3 linked regions of the Drosophila melanogaster genome follow. The protein of the gene in region 1 interacts with the protein of each later gene in a pairwise test. Each region holds a gene or a part of one and is shown on either strand. Other genes may lie near its edges.

Region 1 (4,731 bases):
CGAACCCACACTTCCATTCATCTAGACAATTTGTCAACGACATGGCAATGATACAGCGCACAAGGAAAAGCGACAGCGGGAAAAACAGTAGCCCTACTGTAGCAAAATGAAAATGTCAGCGGCAGCGGCAGCTGCTGTAGCAACAACAACGTGCCCCAATCCAACGAAATAGTTAAGTGGATACGAGAGGGCACAGTGAATGGAATCCATCAACCGCCCATGGTGATCCCCCCTACCACCTACCATCGTGGTATCCAACTGGCAGCCCAAGCCGACGAAGCCTTTCCAATCACATTACTGAGTGCCAGGCGATGTCCTCCGGGGCAAATGGGCTGGGTTTGGAAACCCAGGGAGCTACTTAGCATCCCAACTGGAAGAGATGAACCCTTCAGGAGACGAAAATCAAATGGAATGTAACAGATAGATTCCTTAAGATAACAGAAAACCCTTATCACAGCTCTATAGTTTGGAAAGATATTTTAATGAATTCTCGTGAAATAAGAATATATATACTTCATGGTTGTTATTTAAGTTAATCTTTTGAGGAATTGCAGCAAAATGAGAAGAACTTCATTTTGAATAAGTGTTAGCAACTCACTTGAATAATAAAGAAATAATAACAAATTTGTATGGCATACAGTACAGTTTCCATCAATACATGCCGCCTCTTTTTTCTTATTAAAAATTCAATGATCAGATAAATTTTCACATTTTTCCATAGCTCACCTTAATTTAAAGCGCATGCAGCAAATACTAAATACTTAAATTCGAAATACAAAAAGCACGCATATGTTTTCAGTCACACAACACGGAACCAGCGGCAAACTAAATAAGCAATGGTATTATAGAGATCACAGCCACACGCCCCACCAAGCAGCCATCGCCACTCCATACGGAATTAGCTCTCGCTTTCACTGTGGGTGGTCCTGGAAAATTCCACGAGCCACAAGAATGGAAAGCACTTTGCAGGATAAGCGCCCCGTGGCATCCTCGAAAAGACCAACCACCCCACGTTGTTGAATTGATTTTGCTATGTGAAGTGCAGCTTCACATATAAATTCCCTGCCAAATTGTTTTTTTTTTGTTTCTGCCATTGACTTGTTGCGTTTTCCATTTGATTGCCTGGCCGCAAGCCTGGGTTTATGATATGGAAATCAATTTAATTCATTCCCACAATTAGGGCCATGACTTTGGCCCACTGCAGCGGGCCAAAAGCAGAGCCATCGAGCAAATCTGCCATAAACCAGCGAACAAGAAATTCTTATGGGCGAGGGCGTGTCCACCAACTACCAACTGGCAGTTGAAAAGAGCCGTAAAACACAAGGAACCCCCAAAAGAAGAATGCGCACAGTGGGCCTAAAAAGGAAATAACAATGAATTCAAAAACATGAAAGGCAAGGAAAGTAATGAGTATTTTTGTATATTATATACAAACATAACAGCATTAACGGTTCAAACATTTTATATTAATTTTTTTTTTTAGTTTTATGGTATTTGATCCCACTGTGCTTTATTGCAAAATCGCAAGCAATGAAACGTGTGAATTTTATGAGCTCGCTGAAACTTAAATGGGTCTCCAATTTAATGACGAATTCTGCATTTTGGGAAAGAGAGAGCGCGAATTGTACGCAACAGAGCGAGATAGATGACGAAAAGCTGAGGTTTTATATATGTATGTACATTTTAGGCCGAAACATTCTTCGTTTTGCCGTGCTTTTCATTTTTCCGGTTTTCACCTTTCCGCTGCCGCTGAATCAGTCAAGACCGCCTGCCTTCCCCCCTCCCCCTTCTGGTGTCGTCTGCTCGCTGCCAGCGTCAATTACTTAATTTTAATGGCCTTTATTATGCATACCACAAACACAGAGGCGTTCGCCGAGGAGCGCTCGCATGAATATGCACACGGATTGGAAAGTGTAAAACACTCACATTAACAAGCCCATAAACAAACCTGGCTCATTAAAAAAAAACAGTCAACACAACTCGGGTTGCGGCCGCCGCAAGTCGATAGGCGAAGGAGCAAAGTGGGCGGAGGTCCTTGTGGGCGGCAGGATGCCAAGAATGTGGCAGGAGCCAACTCAATGTTGGCAGGAGGGGAGCCAGAGATCACACAGGCAACTCCAAAGCACTTCAAAAGTGCGCAAACATAAAGGTATCTCAAAAATGTATCATCTTAATTTTATATAATTTATTTGTTTTTGTAATTAATGAATAATTTATAACACATGCCTAACACATAAATATATGTAAATCCTAAGGCAATAACTAATTTTACTTATTTTCGAAAAAAAATATTCTTAGGAGATGGTTTTATATATGATATCGTTATCAATTAGCACGTCTTATTTTGACAATCAATCAATTTATGAAATCGCAGACCTGCCACAACTGGCATACATACATACATATGTATGATTGTACATATGTATGTATTTTCCGATGGATATCACTAACCTCAGGTTAACTTATCGAAGGGATTTCTCTCTGCCTCTTGTAAATCACGCACTAACATGGGGTTGTATGAATTTCGTTTGTATATATTCCACTTGTTGCCAACGGCACACGCGCGATTGTGTGTGTGTTGTGTGTGTGTGTGGGCGCTTTTCCTTCTTTACGACGCGACGCAACAACAAATAAACAAAAGCCGATGGCGACGACAGCGGCGACAGCAGCAACAGTAAAAATAACAACACAACTTTGGCGACAGCGACGCAGGTGTCGCAGACGTGTGACGTTGTTGCTGCAATTTGTTATTGTTGCTTTTGCTTTCGCTGTTTGCTGCGATGTGAGTTATCAGAAAATCACCAAACACACACGAACGCATAGGTAACACACACACACACACGAGCGCACATTTACGCACAAAACCGTACAAGTATTTCAGTCAAAAGAAACAAACAATTTGTTTATAAGTTTAATTGATCCATTTCACGCCTTTAGCTGTGTCACAAGACTTCTTGTTGTATGACAATAAGAGATGGCAGGCCAGATAGAATATCTTTTAATTCTGACAGAGTTTCAATAGCACAGCAGTTAATATTTCGTTTTCAAACAAAAAGCGTAATTTTTTAATCGGCAAACAACTAAAAGGTGTGCGGGTATTTACCAACACTGCGGCAACAGCTGTTCGCTGGTAGTTAACAGTTGGCTAACAGTAGTGTTCAGGTGTCAGTGTTGCCAGCAACAAGTTTGGAAAATATTAATGTAAATAATAATTATTAAAATAGAAAGACCAATTAATAAACTTGTGAATTTACCTAATATATATAATATTCTATTTCTAAAAATTCTATTTCAGTAAAATGATTGTATTTTCTGTTAAACTTTCTTTTTCCAGTCAGTTGGCAGTGCTACTGCAGCAGCTGTTCCGCTGTCAACGCTCACCAACACTGCGCCACATGCTCCACAAATTTTTTTGTTGCCTTTTGCGGCTGATTTGTCACTGCCAGAGTTTATTCCGCAAATAAAATCCTCTATACATGATATTTAAATCAAATACCGAGTAACCATGAGCGCCACGGATGACTTCCAGAGCTGGCTCAACGAGCAGCTGCGCAAATTGAACACCGACGAGAACGTTTTCGGTTCGTATATTATTGGAATTTTGGAGGGCGACGAAACGACAGATGAAAAAACCGAGGCTCTCGAGGGAATTCTCAGCGAAACAGGTGTAAGTTATGGTTAGTAATATCATTGCCTACATAAATTATGGTCCGTGATCTTTGCAGTCCGCCAACATTGACGAACTGGTGGCCACCATACTACAAAAGTGGCTACAGAGCCATCCCAGCGCCGATGATCCGCCGAAAAAAGGTCTGGATATCGATGTGAATGCCCAGTTGGCCAAGTTGCTGGAGCAACAGAAGCTGCAACCCGCCGTAAACAAGGAGCGTGAATACACCGAAGAGGAGCGTCGCATCAAGCAGCAGATTCTAGCTCAATACTCCCAGGTTGCTATCCATGCTGGCCAAGCTGCTGATTCCAGATATCTATTACTAGCTTTAAAGTAGAAGTATCTAGTATCTAATGACAATGCCAATCTTTTTGCAGACTGCCGTTGCCAACGAGGACGACGAGAATTCCGAGGCGGAAAGCGAGGATGACAGTGGAACGCTCACCAAGAATACCAACAAATCGGATGTCCAGGCGCTAGCCAAGGAAAAGCGGGAGCAGGCCCGAATGGATAGTGCGGCCAAAAAGCAAAAGGACAAAGAGGATCGGGAAAAGCAAAAGCAACTGCGCGAGGAAAAGAAGGAGAAACGCAAAACCGTCAAAGGCGAACGGCGTCGATAACCGTCCCCAAGCGAATATTTTTAGACTCTTTCTATTAAAAACAACAAACAACAAATCTGTACAAAGTGCATTTCGCTTGAATGTTTGCATGTTTGCCTAAAGCGAAGTAAACTTTGAAGAGATCTACCGAACTGTTGAATATAAATGTATTAAAATTGAAACGCCAAGATTTTAATTTGATATTTTCAAATGTTTTCCTTTTGATTTCCTTTTTTTTTCTTAGTTTCTTTAATTTTCTAAATTAAATTTAATGCTGTTTTCACATAGCTGTTACAAGGAAATTTGTTGTTTAACCCTAACTTGGCCAACTAGTTGTAAATACTAATGAAAATGTTAGTTTTGTGTATAATTAGTAGTTGTTTTTTTTTTAAGAATCAGCTTAATTTTGCTTATCCTCCTCCGCCTCCAAAGTATCTTCTTTGTCCGATGTCGTTTTCTTAT
Region 2 (4,836 bases), on another chromosome or scaffold:
TGGATTCAAAAAGATCAAGCTACATGAACTGCTCGAGAATGGACTCGAAGAGTTTCCACGAAATATGGTGTTTCTACAGCTGTGGGCCAGCTTAAAATCGATTATGTGGCACAAGCAGCGTAGCCGGCTCATACGCACCAAAGCCGGCATCGCTTCACTGGCGCACTTGGTCGTTGCGATTCACAATCGCTTTGGAATCGTAGATACCAACGATAAGTTTTCAAAGGAAGCCACAAGGAAGATGGTGTGCAATCGTTTGGTCAGCATTGTCGAGACTTTTCTCCCGACCAATTTAGATCGTTTGGATGTGGAGGAAGAGCATTATCGCATACTGCGCAGGAACTCCATCTATTGGCGCTTGTACATGATTGCCCTATCCAAAACGAATGCCTCGTTTAGGCGCAGCAAAGAAGTCCTTATAATGGCCATGGACGAGTGTCCCTGGGACAAGTCACTACTGATGGAAGGCGCCAAGGTTTTGCCAGTGAAACTAGCATCGCTACAGGACCTGATGACCGAAAAAGAGATTCGCATTTTCGCTATGCCCGAGGAAGTGGACGTCTTGAGGGGCTTTTAAGTCGCTTTGGTTTTATTCGTTTGTTTTGAGGTTATTTGCCATTCGGGCGACTCGATAAGTTCGCATCATAAATATATTTATTTCTTCAAACAATCTAGTTCTGAAGTTTGCTTCAACTTTAAGTTAACTGGCGAAATTGCGATAAGCTGTTTGCAGTTATATGCGTACATGCATATTTTACTACATATATCCTAAATCGCTTATCAGAATTGGCTCACTAACAAATTCAGAATTAGCGATTTTGCTACTCAAAAATACTCGCCGTTCGATTATGTTAAAAAAAAATTCCAACACTTTATCGCTCGTTGCTGTGCAAGGAAACCAGAGTCGCATATCGAATGTCGGAGATTAGTCCAACTTCATCTTCTGGCCAATCCGCTCCCCCCGAATCCAGCATTTTCTTGTGTTTATTATTTTGATTGTGTTTATCGCAAGATAACCGAACAAAACTCATAAGCCAAAACAGCGCCGAAAGAATCACTGCGCACCTGAGGTCGCAATTGTAGCACCTGGAAGCTGTGAGACGAACTAAATACAACATATTTGTTATGTCATTTTCATATCGCTGAAATGAAACATATATTGCAAATAGCTTATTTTTATATTACTGAAATTTAAAATATATTGCAAATAGTTTATGGTTCTGTTTATTTAAATTTATTAAATCATTTAAATATGCAAAAGAAATTAAGAAGTTTTCTACATTTGTAAATTACAAATAAAAATATTTATATTCCTATTTAGCTATGAGTAGTTTTAACAGCTAACTTGTTAAATATTGATAAATTTAGATTTAATATGTACACATTAAAGGATTTGTATTAAATGACATGAATGATATTGACGATAAAATGATTGATATTTTGTATGCGATCTGTTTGTGTGACCGCAAGTGTGGTGGCCAAGTTGCGTGAGCGCGAGCGAGACGGCTGTGGCTGAGTGTTGACTCGTCTCGAATGTTGCGTATGCGCCCTGTCTGCCCAGCCACTTAAGACTCCTGTGCGTTACTGTTGCTCTTTGGAAAAGCGTGGAAATCGGGAGAGGAAACGCTGTGATTGGGCAGAGGGGTAGTGGGGATGAAAAGCTCCGCTCGCCGAAACGCATCGAAAGCTGTCTGAGCGCGAGAGTCCTGGCTGCTGTCCATTCGCACGTCCGTCTGTTCGCCTGCTCGTCCACCCATCCGACATCTTTGGACCGGGCTTCATCGATGGCAGTCGGTCGGCATCTGTCCAAGTCCCACGACGCGTTGTCGCTCCGCATCGGCCGTTGCTGCAGTGGAAGCGGCCCGTTTGGCCAAGTGGCGTCTCCGTAGTCCCTAGTCTCATGGCGGCGGAGTCTCCTCTCAAGGTTTCCCAGGCACTCCAGACCGTTTCCAGTTCCTAGGTTAGTGCTAGAGCTCGGAATATCTGGCCAGTATCAGGCCAATCCATATATAATAATATATACATACATATATATATATATATGTATATATCGCTATAACGGCCGAGTGTTTTTTGTTCCATTTCGTTTCGATAGCGAGTGTAATTTTTTTGAGAGTGCTCCCCCGTTCTAAGTCGTGTGTGTGTGTGTGTTTCTCTTCCTGTTTGGGTGTGTGTGCTGCGATGTCTCTGTGTTGGTGTAGAGCAGAAGCAAGAAGAAGCAGCATTGTGTAAGACGCCAGCGTCAAGTTCGTAGACTAAACACCAACCTTCTTTTGCGGCTCTACTCTAGCAAAGGGGAAAAGCTTTTCAGAGAGGAAACTCAGAAAATGAGAAAACGATAGAGACAGAGAGCGCAGAGAGTCAATGTGCACTGCTAGAAAATGTGGGGAAAACCAGTTTGCGAGCATGCGATTCGTGACAGTTTGCATATTTTTTAAGCATCTTTATCTCAGATTTCCAAATCTATAACTCAAATATTACTAAATTTATTACAGATAAGTGTAATCAAAATAATTGATAGCTTATTATTATTATTATATAATGCTTCCTTGGAGATTGTTATAAACAGAGGAGATTCAAGTGATTTTTTGTGCAAAACTCTAGTTTTAGCAACGTTTTCTTTTTTCCCGGTGTACTGGGTGAGCATGAACTCGCCGAGGGTTTCCCGGCCGGAAACCTTAGTCAAGGTCTCGCCAGCTTTCCAACGCAGGTTGTTGCTGCGCTCTCGCTCACACTCGCTGCTGGTGGGCGTTTGGCCAATCGCCATCTCTGTCGCACCGCTGTCGGTGACGAGCGAAGCTTTTATTGTATATTTCATCTTTCACGCTCTTTTCCCTGCCATTTCTGCTTCTTTGGGGCAGCGGCACCTAGAGCGGGAGCGGGAGCGGAGTGGAGCGTGAGTGGAGCGTTAGCTTTCCGGGCAGCTGATTCGCGCTCGGCTCGGCTCTCCGCTGCCGTTGCCGCTGCCGCCGTCGCTGCTCCGCTCGTCGTCTGGCTGATTAGTTTAGTTTGTGATTTCAATATATGTAATTAATTTTTGTTTCTGTAGCGGTACGGACGGACGCGTCGCGACGTTCGCTTGGTCCGCTTGGTGTTCGTTCGGTTCGCTTGGAGCTTGGAGTTCGAATTCGGTTCGCCAGCCGTCGCTGTTTCGTATTTATTATTATTTTTTATTTTTTTTTTATGAGTATATTCGTATTTCGCATTTGTATCTGAATGTTTCTTTGGCTCTGCGTACGTGTGTGAGCGATTGTGCGAGTTTCCTTCTCTTTCAACTTGCCTTTTTCGTGGTCGCCGCCGCTGCTAAAATGCAAAGAACACGCTCGAGCAACGTAAATGGCGCCGCGTTAACGAATGGAATTGGATTATCAAACAGTGCCCCCCAGAGCCCCATATAAAAGTTGAAAAAAAAAATAAAATAAAAAACAAAACGAGGAATTAAAACCGAAATAAAACAGGCAACAAACAAACTTCGTTTTGACAACCCCCCCGCCTTTTTTTTTGTTTGCGTGTGTGTGTTTTGTGCCAGTGCTTGTGCTATAGTGTAAAAAAAAAAGTTTGAAACAACAAACCAAAAACGCGCTCGAGGGGAAATATTATCAAAAAGGTAGATGGCGGTGACCTTAAATCATATAGTAATTATAGGGCTATCTTCCAGTTGGACAGTTTCAACAACCAAACGTTGGTGTATGAAAAACTCCAATTATCCTATTATACGACTAGTATGTATATTCATAAGCCCAATGGGGCTTAAATACCGCTGTTGGTGTGTTGTTGAACAAGCTTGAACAAGTATTTTTTTGTGCTCTACGTTGGTGCATTGGAGTGTAGATATAGTTTCAACAACCGACCAACCACCAAGCGCAAAATTAATATTGTTGAAACGTTCGAGCTTAGCAGCTGTTGGTGAACCGTTGTTGGTGTATTGTTGAGTGCGCGGCATTAGATGCTGTTGATCAGAGTACTTTTGGTACTCTTGTGATCCTGTTTCATTTCCGTTTTTGTTCACTGATTTCGATGTTTTCTTGTGCAGAGAATTGGTTTTATATGGTGTAGCCTACGAGTACGAGCATATGTGCTGAAATCAGCGGCGCGTGCGCGCATTTTTGCGCGATCGAAACCCGAGAACGATTCAGTTTTTTGTTGAGTTGGGAAAAGTTTCGATTTACGAAAAACATTCCCACTGTCTGTGTTTGTCATCCTTCGAAAATCTGCTTAGCCAACATTAACGTGTTTGCCCATCCACAAACACATACAAATGCATACAAAAAAAAAACTATCACATTCGCATCGACACAATCAATGAGGCAAGACAAATAAAATTAACATATTAATGAATTTCCAGTTTCTTTTTTCGACTTATTTAATTTTTTAATAAGAAAAGAAAAAACAGAAAAACAAAACAAGCGTGAAGAACTCGAGTCTCTCGACTTCGGCATACCCAAAAAGCACGAAAGCGGGAAGTGTGATTATGGCCAAAATTCCAGATCTGCGCTTTAATGGGTGTGCGAAGATCAACGGATTCCAATGAATATAGATGTTATATGGCGGAGCACTTTATGATGGGTTCTTAGCCTCCCTTGAACTTGTGGGCAGCATGGAAAGAGTGCGATGGAACTGAGCTTTGGATGATAATAGCAATAAAAGTAAATATAAATAGCCCAGCATCAGGTATTTGTTGGCAACAATTTTTCAATGATTTACCAGTTCCGAGTTCCGATCAATAAAAGTGTTTTTTTTCTGTTTTTTTTTTTTTTGCTATTCGGTTTGGTTTTTTCTTTCCAATTTTTGTTTTTTGTTCGGCTGCTTTGCTGCTGCTCTCAAGGTTTTCTGTGT
Region 3 (7,767 bases), on another chromosome or scaffold:
AGGAATCGCTCACACGCAAGCAGGAGAAGAACAAGTCTAAGCAGCAGAAACAGGACGAGGATGAGGGACCTCAGGAGCTGTTGGCCAGGCCCAAGGAATATATTGTCAAGTTCCGCTTCCCGGAGCCATCGCAGCTCCAGCCACCCATTCTGGGTGTCCACAATGTCACCTTCGCCTTTCCGAGCCAGAAACCGCTGTTCATCAAGGTTGACTTTGGCATTGATCTAACTAGTCGAGTGGCCATCGTGGGACCCAATGGTGTGGGCAAATCAACCTTCCTCAAGCTGCTGCTCGGTGAATTGGAACCGCAGGAGGGTGAGCAGCGCAAGAATCACCGACTTCATGTGGGCCGCTTCGATCAGCACTCAGGTGAACATCTCACGGCAGAGGAATCGGCTGCAGAGTACCTGCAGCGTCTGTTCAATCTGCCCCACGAAAAGGCGCGTAAGGCATTGGGTTCCTTTGGTTTGGTCAGTCATGCACACACCATCAAGATGAAGGATCTGTCCGGTGGTCAGAAAGCCCGTGTGGCCCTCGCTGAGCTATGCTTGAGTGCGCCGGATGTACTAATTCTCGATGAGCCTACGAACAATCTGGACATCGAGAGTATCGACGCCTTGGCGGAGGCAATCAACGAGTACGAGGGTGGCGTGATCATCGTCTCCCACGACGAGCGTTTGATCCGTGAAACAGGTTGCACTCTCTACGTAATTGAGGATCAGACGATCAACGAGATTGTTGGAGAGTTCGATGACTACAGAAAGGAGGTTCTCGATTCGCTCGGCGAGGTGGTCAACAATCCTAGCGTGGTGGCCAATGCGGCTGTGCTGCAATAACCCTCAAGTTGCATACGGACTTGGAGTCCATGCAACTGGTCATCACTCGTCAGCTGGCTCGCCCTATGTTAATTGTTCAACTGTTGAATTGATTATCTGCTAGTTAGTCTTTTTATACCAACATATATACAATAACAAATTGTGGAAGTAAATGTTATTACACAAGAGCGTTTAAGAATGTGTTGTTTATGTTATTAAATTGTGGGTATTAAGTATTTGTTGTAGAATATACGTGGAACTGGTTAAAACACCCGTAAATTGTACTCGTAATATATGTAGATAGATGATTTATATTTAAAGTTAATGCCAGCTCTGAGTGTTCTCCAAAAAAATGGAAAAAATAACATTAGAGTACATAATATTAATTCTTAGATATAATTGTGGACATCCTAGCCGCTGCGATAGAAGGCCTTGACATTGTTAATCAGGTGGCTCAATCCATTATAGCCATCCTTATCGAAGTCGATGTTCTCGCCGCCAAACTCGATGACCTGCAAATGAATAGTGGGCAAATGGTTTGGGATCATTGAAATAAATGACTCCATGGATTGAGTGCACCCACCTCCTTGGCCCTGAGGGTGTCCGCACCATGGGGCACTCCAATGACCTCGACCCAGGCCCCTTCGGCGGCGCCCAGCTCACCCGGCAGATTGATCTTTAGCTTGTGGTTGTCTGTGGAACTGGCCAGCAAAGTGGATCCCGCGACGCTCTCCACGCGAACCATTATGCTCACGGTTTGGCCGGAAAACTGCTTCAGCATGCCGCCGTTGATAATCGAGCGTGGATCAAAGGCATCCATAATAACTCCTCAGTTAATAACGTTCAAAAAACAGCCAATTTCAGCAGAAAATGAAATGCCGTAAACAAGAAAGAGCGCCAATAGTTATCGAGCGTGCTAATCGATAATAAAATTGCATGACGTCTGCTATCGAAATTATTCGAATTTTGTAGCAAAAATATTTATGGATTTATTGTAACATCAAAAGTTATTACATTATTACTGTGGACTTATGTATTATAATAAGAATTAATAAAAATAATTTATAATAGAATTATAAAAAGACCTGATAGATTACATGTATTACAACAATGTTATCGACAGCGAACAAGATGTTCGAATCTTTCTGATATTTTGTCCGGTGTGAACGTGCGAATTTTAGTACGACAACCAGTTACATCGATGTATCGATAGTTTTTAGACTGGCCAATGTTTATTGTTATAAAATAAATGTTACAAATAAACAATTAATCACTTAGTATAAACAAAAATAAGTGCAAGCAGCAAGTGCGTTGTTAAAACGACCGCCGCCCTCCGAATTTCCTTATTGCGGGCATTAAATCGCAACAACAACAACGCCACCAGCAACAGCAACAACAATAAGCAGGAGATTCAGATTCGCAACGCAATCAAAACGTAAAAAAAAAACGAAAAATAAAAAACTACAAGGCGAAACGCATAAATAAATAGGGAAGCAAATAATAGTAATAATAAGACTAAAAGCAAGTGGAAAAGTACGAAAGCGAAAAGAGAAAACATATGTACGTTGCGTGAGAGTGACGTGTGTGTGTGTGTGTCAGTGAGCGAAGGAGAGTGAGCGAGAGAGGGGAGGCGAGCAAAAACAAAAACAACAGCACAGCATAAGCGAGACCTTGAAAACTTTAAAAGCAGCAAAAAAAACAAGACAACAGCCAAAAATAAGAAACTAAAAGCTGCAAAAGTAATAAAAAATATATTTTAGCCGAAAAATTTCCATAATAACAATTCTAGAAGTGCGGAGCGTACACCCTGTTATGGAGAGTGACGATTTTCATTTACCGCAAGGCGCCAATTAAAGGGGAAAATCCATAAATCGAGGATTACAAGTGGAAAACAAGGAGGCAGTAACTCCAGAAAACGCCCAAAAAGTCCAAAATGGCAGCACCAGAGACGGGCAACACGGGCTCCACAGGATCCGCTGGCTCGACAGGATCGGGATCGGGATCGGGATCGGGAAGTGGGAGCTCCTCAGATCCAGCGAATGGACGGGAGGCCCGTAACCTTGCCGAAAAACAGCGACGGGATAAGCTTAATGCCAGCATCCAGGAGCTGGCCACCATGGTACCACATGCAGCCGAATCCTCCCGTCGCCTGGACAAAACCGCCGTCCTTAGATTCGCCACCCATGGCCTGAGACTTCAGTATGTCTTTGGCAAGTCCGCTTCCAGACGTCGCAAGAAAACCGGCCTCAAGGGAACGGGTATGTCTGCCTCACCTGTCGGAGATCTACCCAATCCCAGTCTGCATCTAACGGACACTCTAATGCAACTGCTGGACTGCTGCTTCCTCACCCTAACCTGCAGTGGCCAAATCGTTTTGGTATCCACCAGCGTGGAGCAGCTATTGGGTCACTGTCAGTCCGATTTGTATGGCCAGAATCTACTGCAGATCACGCATCCCGATGATCAGGATCTGTTAAGACAGCAGCTAATACCCAGGGATATAGAGACCCTGTTCTATCAGCATCAGCACCACCAGCAGCAGGGGCACAATCCCCAGCAGCACTCCACTTCCACGTCGGCCTCAACTTCGGGCAGTGATCTGGAGGAGGAGGAAATGGAGACGGAGGAACACCGTCTGGGTCGGCAGCAGGGAGAGGCGGACGATGACGAGGATCACCCGTACAACCGACGAACACCCAGCCCGCGGAGAATGGCCCATTTGGCGACCATTGATGACCGACTACGCATGGATCGGCGCTGCTTTACCGTCCGCTTGGCTAGGGCTTCCACGCGAGCGGAGGCCACGCGTCATTACGAGCGGGTTAAGATCGATGGCTGCTTTCGTCGCAGTGACTCCTCCTTAACCGGAGGTGCCGCTGCCAACTATCCGATTGTCTCCCAGCTGATACGACGCTCGAGAAACAACAATATGCTGGCTGCTGCTGCAGCAGTGGCAGCAGAAGCGGCGACGGTGCCGCCCCAGCACGATGCCATTGCCCAGGCGGCGCTGCACGGGATTAGCGGCAATGATATTGTCCTGGTGGCCATGGCCAGGGTGCTGCGAGAGGAACGGCCGCCTGAGGAGACGGAGGGTACAGTGGGCTTGACCATTTACAGACAGCCAGAACCCTATCAGTTGGAGTACCATACGAGGCATCTAATCGACGGCAGCATCATCGACTGTGATCAAAGGATTGGTCTGGTGGCGGGATATATGAAGGATGAGGTGGGTATATTAACATCATCTCTCTGAACTGCTTACGACAACTAATCGTGTACTCTCCACTCGAAACAGGTGCGCAACCTTAGTCCCTTCTGTTTCATGCACCTGGACGACGTTCGCTGGGTGATTGTGGCCCTTCGACAAATGTACGATTGCAACAGTGACTACGGCGAGAGCTGCTACCGTCTGCTGTCCCGCAACGGGCGCTTCATTTACCTGCACACCAAGGGATTTCTGGAGGTCGACCGTGGCAGTAATAAGGTGCATTCCTTTCTGTGCGTCAACACGCTGCTCGATGAGGAGGCGGGCCGGCAAAAGGTGCAGGAGATGAAGGAGAAATTCTCGACAATCATCAAGGCGGAGATGCCCACGCAGAGCAGCAGTCCCGATTTGCCCGCCTCGCAGGCACCGCAGCAACTTGAGAGAATTGTCCTCTATCTAATAGAGAACCTACAGAAGAGTGTGGATTCAGCAGAGACGGTTGGCGGCCAGGGCATGGAAAGCCTAATGGACGATGGCTACAGTTCGCCAGCAAATACCTTAACTCTCGAGGAGTTAGCTCCCTCGCCCACGCCCGCCTTGGCCTTGGTGCCGCCGGCTCCCTCATCGGTCAAGAGCTCCATCTCCAAGTCGGTGAGTGTGGTCAATGTGACGGCGGCCAGAAAGTTTCAGCAGGAGCATCAGAAGCAGCGTGAACGTGACCGTGAGCAGCTTAAGGAGCGCACCAACTCCACGCAGGGCGTGATCCGGCAACTGAGCAGCTGCCTAAGCGAGGCGGAAACGGCATCCTGTATCCTATCACCAGCCAGTAGCTTGAGTGCCAGCGAAGCACCGGACACGCCCGATCCGCACAGCAACACATCACCGCCACCGTCGCTCCACACACGTCCCAGTGTCCTGCATCGAACCCTGACCAGCACGCTGCGATGACGGGCTGATGGAACCTGGTTTGCCTTCTAATTGGGTGTGTGGAAATGGACGTCATTGGTAGCTCACGTGCCCACAAACGAATTAGTATCGGTAATATAATCCTGGCCAATCGCAAAATGAAAACCCAAAATGTATCAGAAAAAAACGAGCATTATTCAAATAGTTTAAAAATTCAGCCAAAAAACTTAAAAACGAAAAAAAAGAGCGTGGGTTGAAAAACCTTTTGTTTTCATATTCACATTTCCAAGCTTTGAGCAATCAAACAATTTTAATTTTCAGTATACACATATGTATAATGAGTTGGCTTTACAAAAGCTATTAACAAATCAAGCAATTGTGTAATTTAATATGAGACTTTCCGTGATTTTCGCTTTCTACGTACTTTTCGACTTCAATTGATCTATAGGGTTTCCGTATTAAAAACGAAATTAACGTGGTTTCATTTGATGAAAATGCAATATGAGCTCGCATTTATTTTGATATTATGACAGTAATAATGATCTGATCACGATAATCGTTTTCTCAAAACATAAGCGATACATTTTGGGTACATTTGGCCATTACTGTTTCTGTGTGTGATTTCGGTATAAAATAGTAGTTTGATTACATGTTATATTGATGAATGGCGATCGGTGGGTGCTGCTAAATGCGTTCCATTATCAATAATTTTCGTTATGTAATTACGTTTAATTTGTAAATATGTATGAGTGCGAGCGTGAGTGAGTTTGTGATCGTGTCAGCATGGGTGTGAATGAACATTAGATCAGTGCTCGGATTTGGTTTTAGTTGAAATTTAAACCCCATTTCCCCGATTTCCCAGTTATCACCTTCCGCCCCAAAACACCAGTGTAAAAAGAGTACAAAAAAAAAAAGAAAAGAAAATAGAAAAACAAACAAACAATTATATATTTATTTCGCCCTAAGTCTAGAACGTGCTAAACACAACTCATTAATAGTTAAACAAACGGATGTTGCAATCGATGGAAATTAAACGCTCGCTTTTAGTTTTGCCGTCTCGCTCGAAGAAAGAAAGAGGACTACATATGTACAGTCAAACTAATCCAAGTCAAACTCTTCAGTCTCAGAATTGGAGACTTTATTAAAGGTTTTTTATTTTATGAAGAATAGCATATTATTTTTATATATATATATTTATGTATATATATTTATATCACAAATCTCCTTCGATATCCCTTTGTAATCTATAAAAACACTTCCAGGCGCAGCTTTATTTTTCAACAGTTTTAATTTTGGGAACTTTACAAAGCATATAAGCATACCCCAAATCCATATCCTTATAAACTTTGTAGTTATTACAAATGTGTTCAAAATTAAAAAAAAAGTTTGTCATCCAAAATCCAATCCGCTAAATACAATATAATCATTTTAATTGATCTATGTTACACTTCTATAATGTCTACTGGACAAAATATGATTAAGTTGAAATTTCAAAGTGTTTTTGAAGTTCGTACTAGCGAAGTTTGGCTGTAGTTCAATACTCACAGAAAGGGAGCGAGACATATTCCCATCTCGCTCCGACCTGTTATCAAAGCCTTTGCCATTGTCCTTGGCGTTGCGTTCTTATCACCGGCGTATCGGAGGGAATATATGATTTTTTTTTCGGCCAAGTGGTTCTAGTGGTAAATATGAGGCGGTGGGTGGTTTCGGGGGGTTTGGGGGAACGGCGGTTGGTGATGGGCGCAGAGAAGGCGGGAGGCGGGGGGGAACACGTTTCGTTATTTTTTGTTTTATAGCGAAATTCCTCTAGCTATAAATGTATGCATACATATATGCTATTAACTTTTCGTTTAGCTCAATTTTTTGTTTGTATTTTTAATTATAACTCGGTTTGTCTAGTGTGTAATTAAATTAAAAGTCCAATGCTAATTCCCCAGCGAATCGTTCAGTGTTTGTTCAAACGAGTTGTGCTCTTTAAACACTTTTGGCTTATCCTTTCATTTAATTTTTGTTTGTTTTCCTTGCGTTGTTATATGTCCAAATAAAAATGAAAGTTTGAATTGTTTTTTTTTAGTAATTTAGTTTTAACTGTAATGTCAAATGTCAAGAGGTATACTCTGTATAAGAATAATAATGTGTAATGTAATTTTTAGAACTTGCTAATCTCTAGCAATTAAAACATAGCCTGTAATTAACAATAATTAATTATAATAACCAGTAACAGTTCATGCAAATGAAACCTTAATAAATAATAAATTATATAAAAGAAGATGGAAGTGTTTTCAATCAATGAAGTTACTTCCTATTTTCAGGAGTTGGAATGTTACACTTTTTTATAAGCTGATTTGAAATGCGCGCCACATTATATCTGCCTTGCGCGCACGCATTGCAGCCGAATAACGGCGAATTAACTCCCCTCAGAGGTGAGTTTGAACTATCGATTATAATCGATTGCATTCGGAAACAAAAAACACCTTGAGTTTGGTCAGATCGGTTTTGCGCGGGATAAATAATAAAATATTAAATGTTTTCTTTGTTAACATTTCGCTGTGCATGCTGTCTGGGTACACATATACAGCCTATCGCCTTGGCTCACTAAGCCCATGGCTCAGATGTCCATTTGGACTAACATTTTGTGTGAGTAATTGAATAATAAGAATTACGGAGCTCGGACTTGTAATGGCCGAAGTACTACTGCCGCAATGCTTGGTTCACGTTAAAAAGAATCAAGTGCAACAAATTTAATTGTATTTAACTATTTTATAACCGCGCAGCAAAGTAATGGTTAATTCTGCTTTTAAATAGTTGACAGTTACAAGCGAAACATAGAAGCCGCGCAGG

The links.
Region 2: the proteins of tai (region 1) and gce interact in a two-hybrid assay, tested with the Drosophila melanogaster proteins (one study listed by BioGRID).
Region 3: the proteins of tai (region 1) and Met interact in a two-hybrid assay, tested with the Drosophila melanogaster proteins (one study listed by BioGRID).

What each region holds. Positions count from the first base shown.
Region 1 is NT_033779.5:9,165,159-9,169,889, reverse strand, and holds the start of tai (taiman), read right to left. Parts: upstream 3,113-4,731; 5' UTR 2,452-3,112; intron 1-2,451. Other genes in the region: CG9586 (uncharacterized protein), read left to right, coding at 3,506-3,667, 3,726-3,947, 4,018-4,290; CG13108 (uncharacterized protein), read right to left, coding at 4,670-4,731.
Region 2 is NC_004354.4:15,295,977-15,300,812, forward strand, and holds the start of gce (germ cell-expressed bHLH-PAS), read left to right. Parts: upstream 1-1,789; 5' UTR 1,790-1,960; intron 1,961-2,060; exon of another isoform or gene 2,061-2,241; intron 2,242-3,032; exon of another isoform or gene 3,033-3,607; intron 3,608-4,532; exon of another isoform or gene 4,533-4,646; intron 4,647-4,836. Other genes in the region: CG5877 (uncharacterized protein), read left to right, coding at 1-577.
Region 3 is NC_004354.4:11,614,120-11,621,886, forward strand, and holds Met (Methoprene-tolerant), read left to right. Parts: upstream 1-2,004; 5' UTR 2,005-2,748; coding exon 2,749-4,041; intron 4,042-4,110; coding exon 4,111-4,968; 3' UTR 4,969-7,161; downstream 7,162-7,767. Other genes in the region: CG1703 (uncharacterized protein), read left to right, coding at 1-836; RPA3 (replication protein A3), read right to left, coding at 1,226-1,327, 1,399-1,635.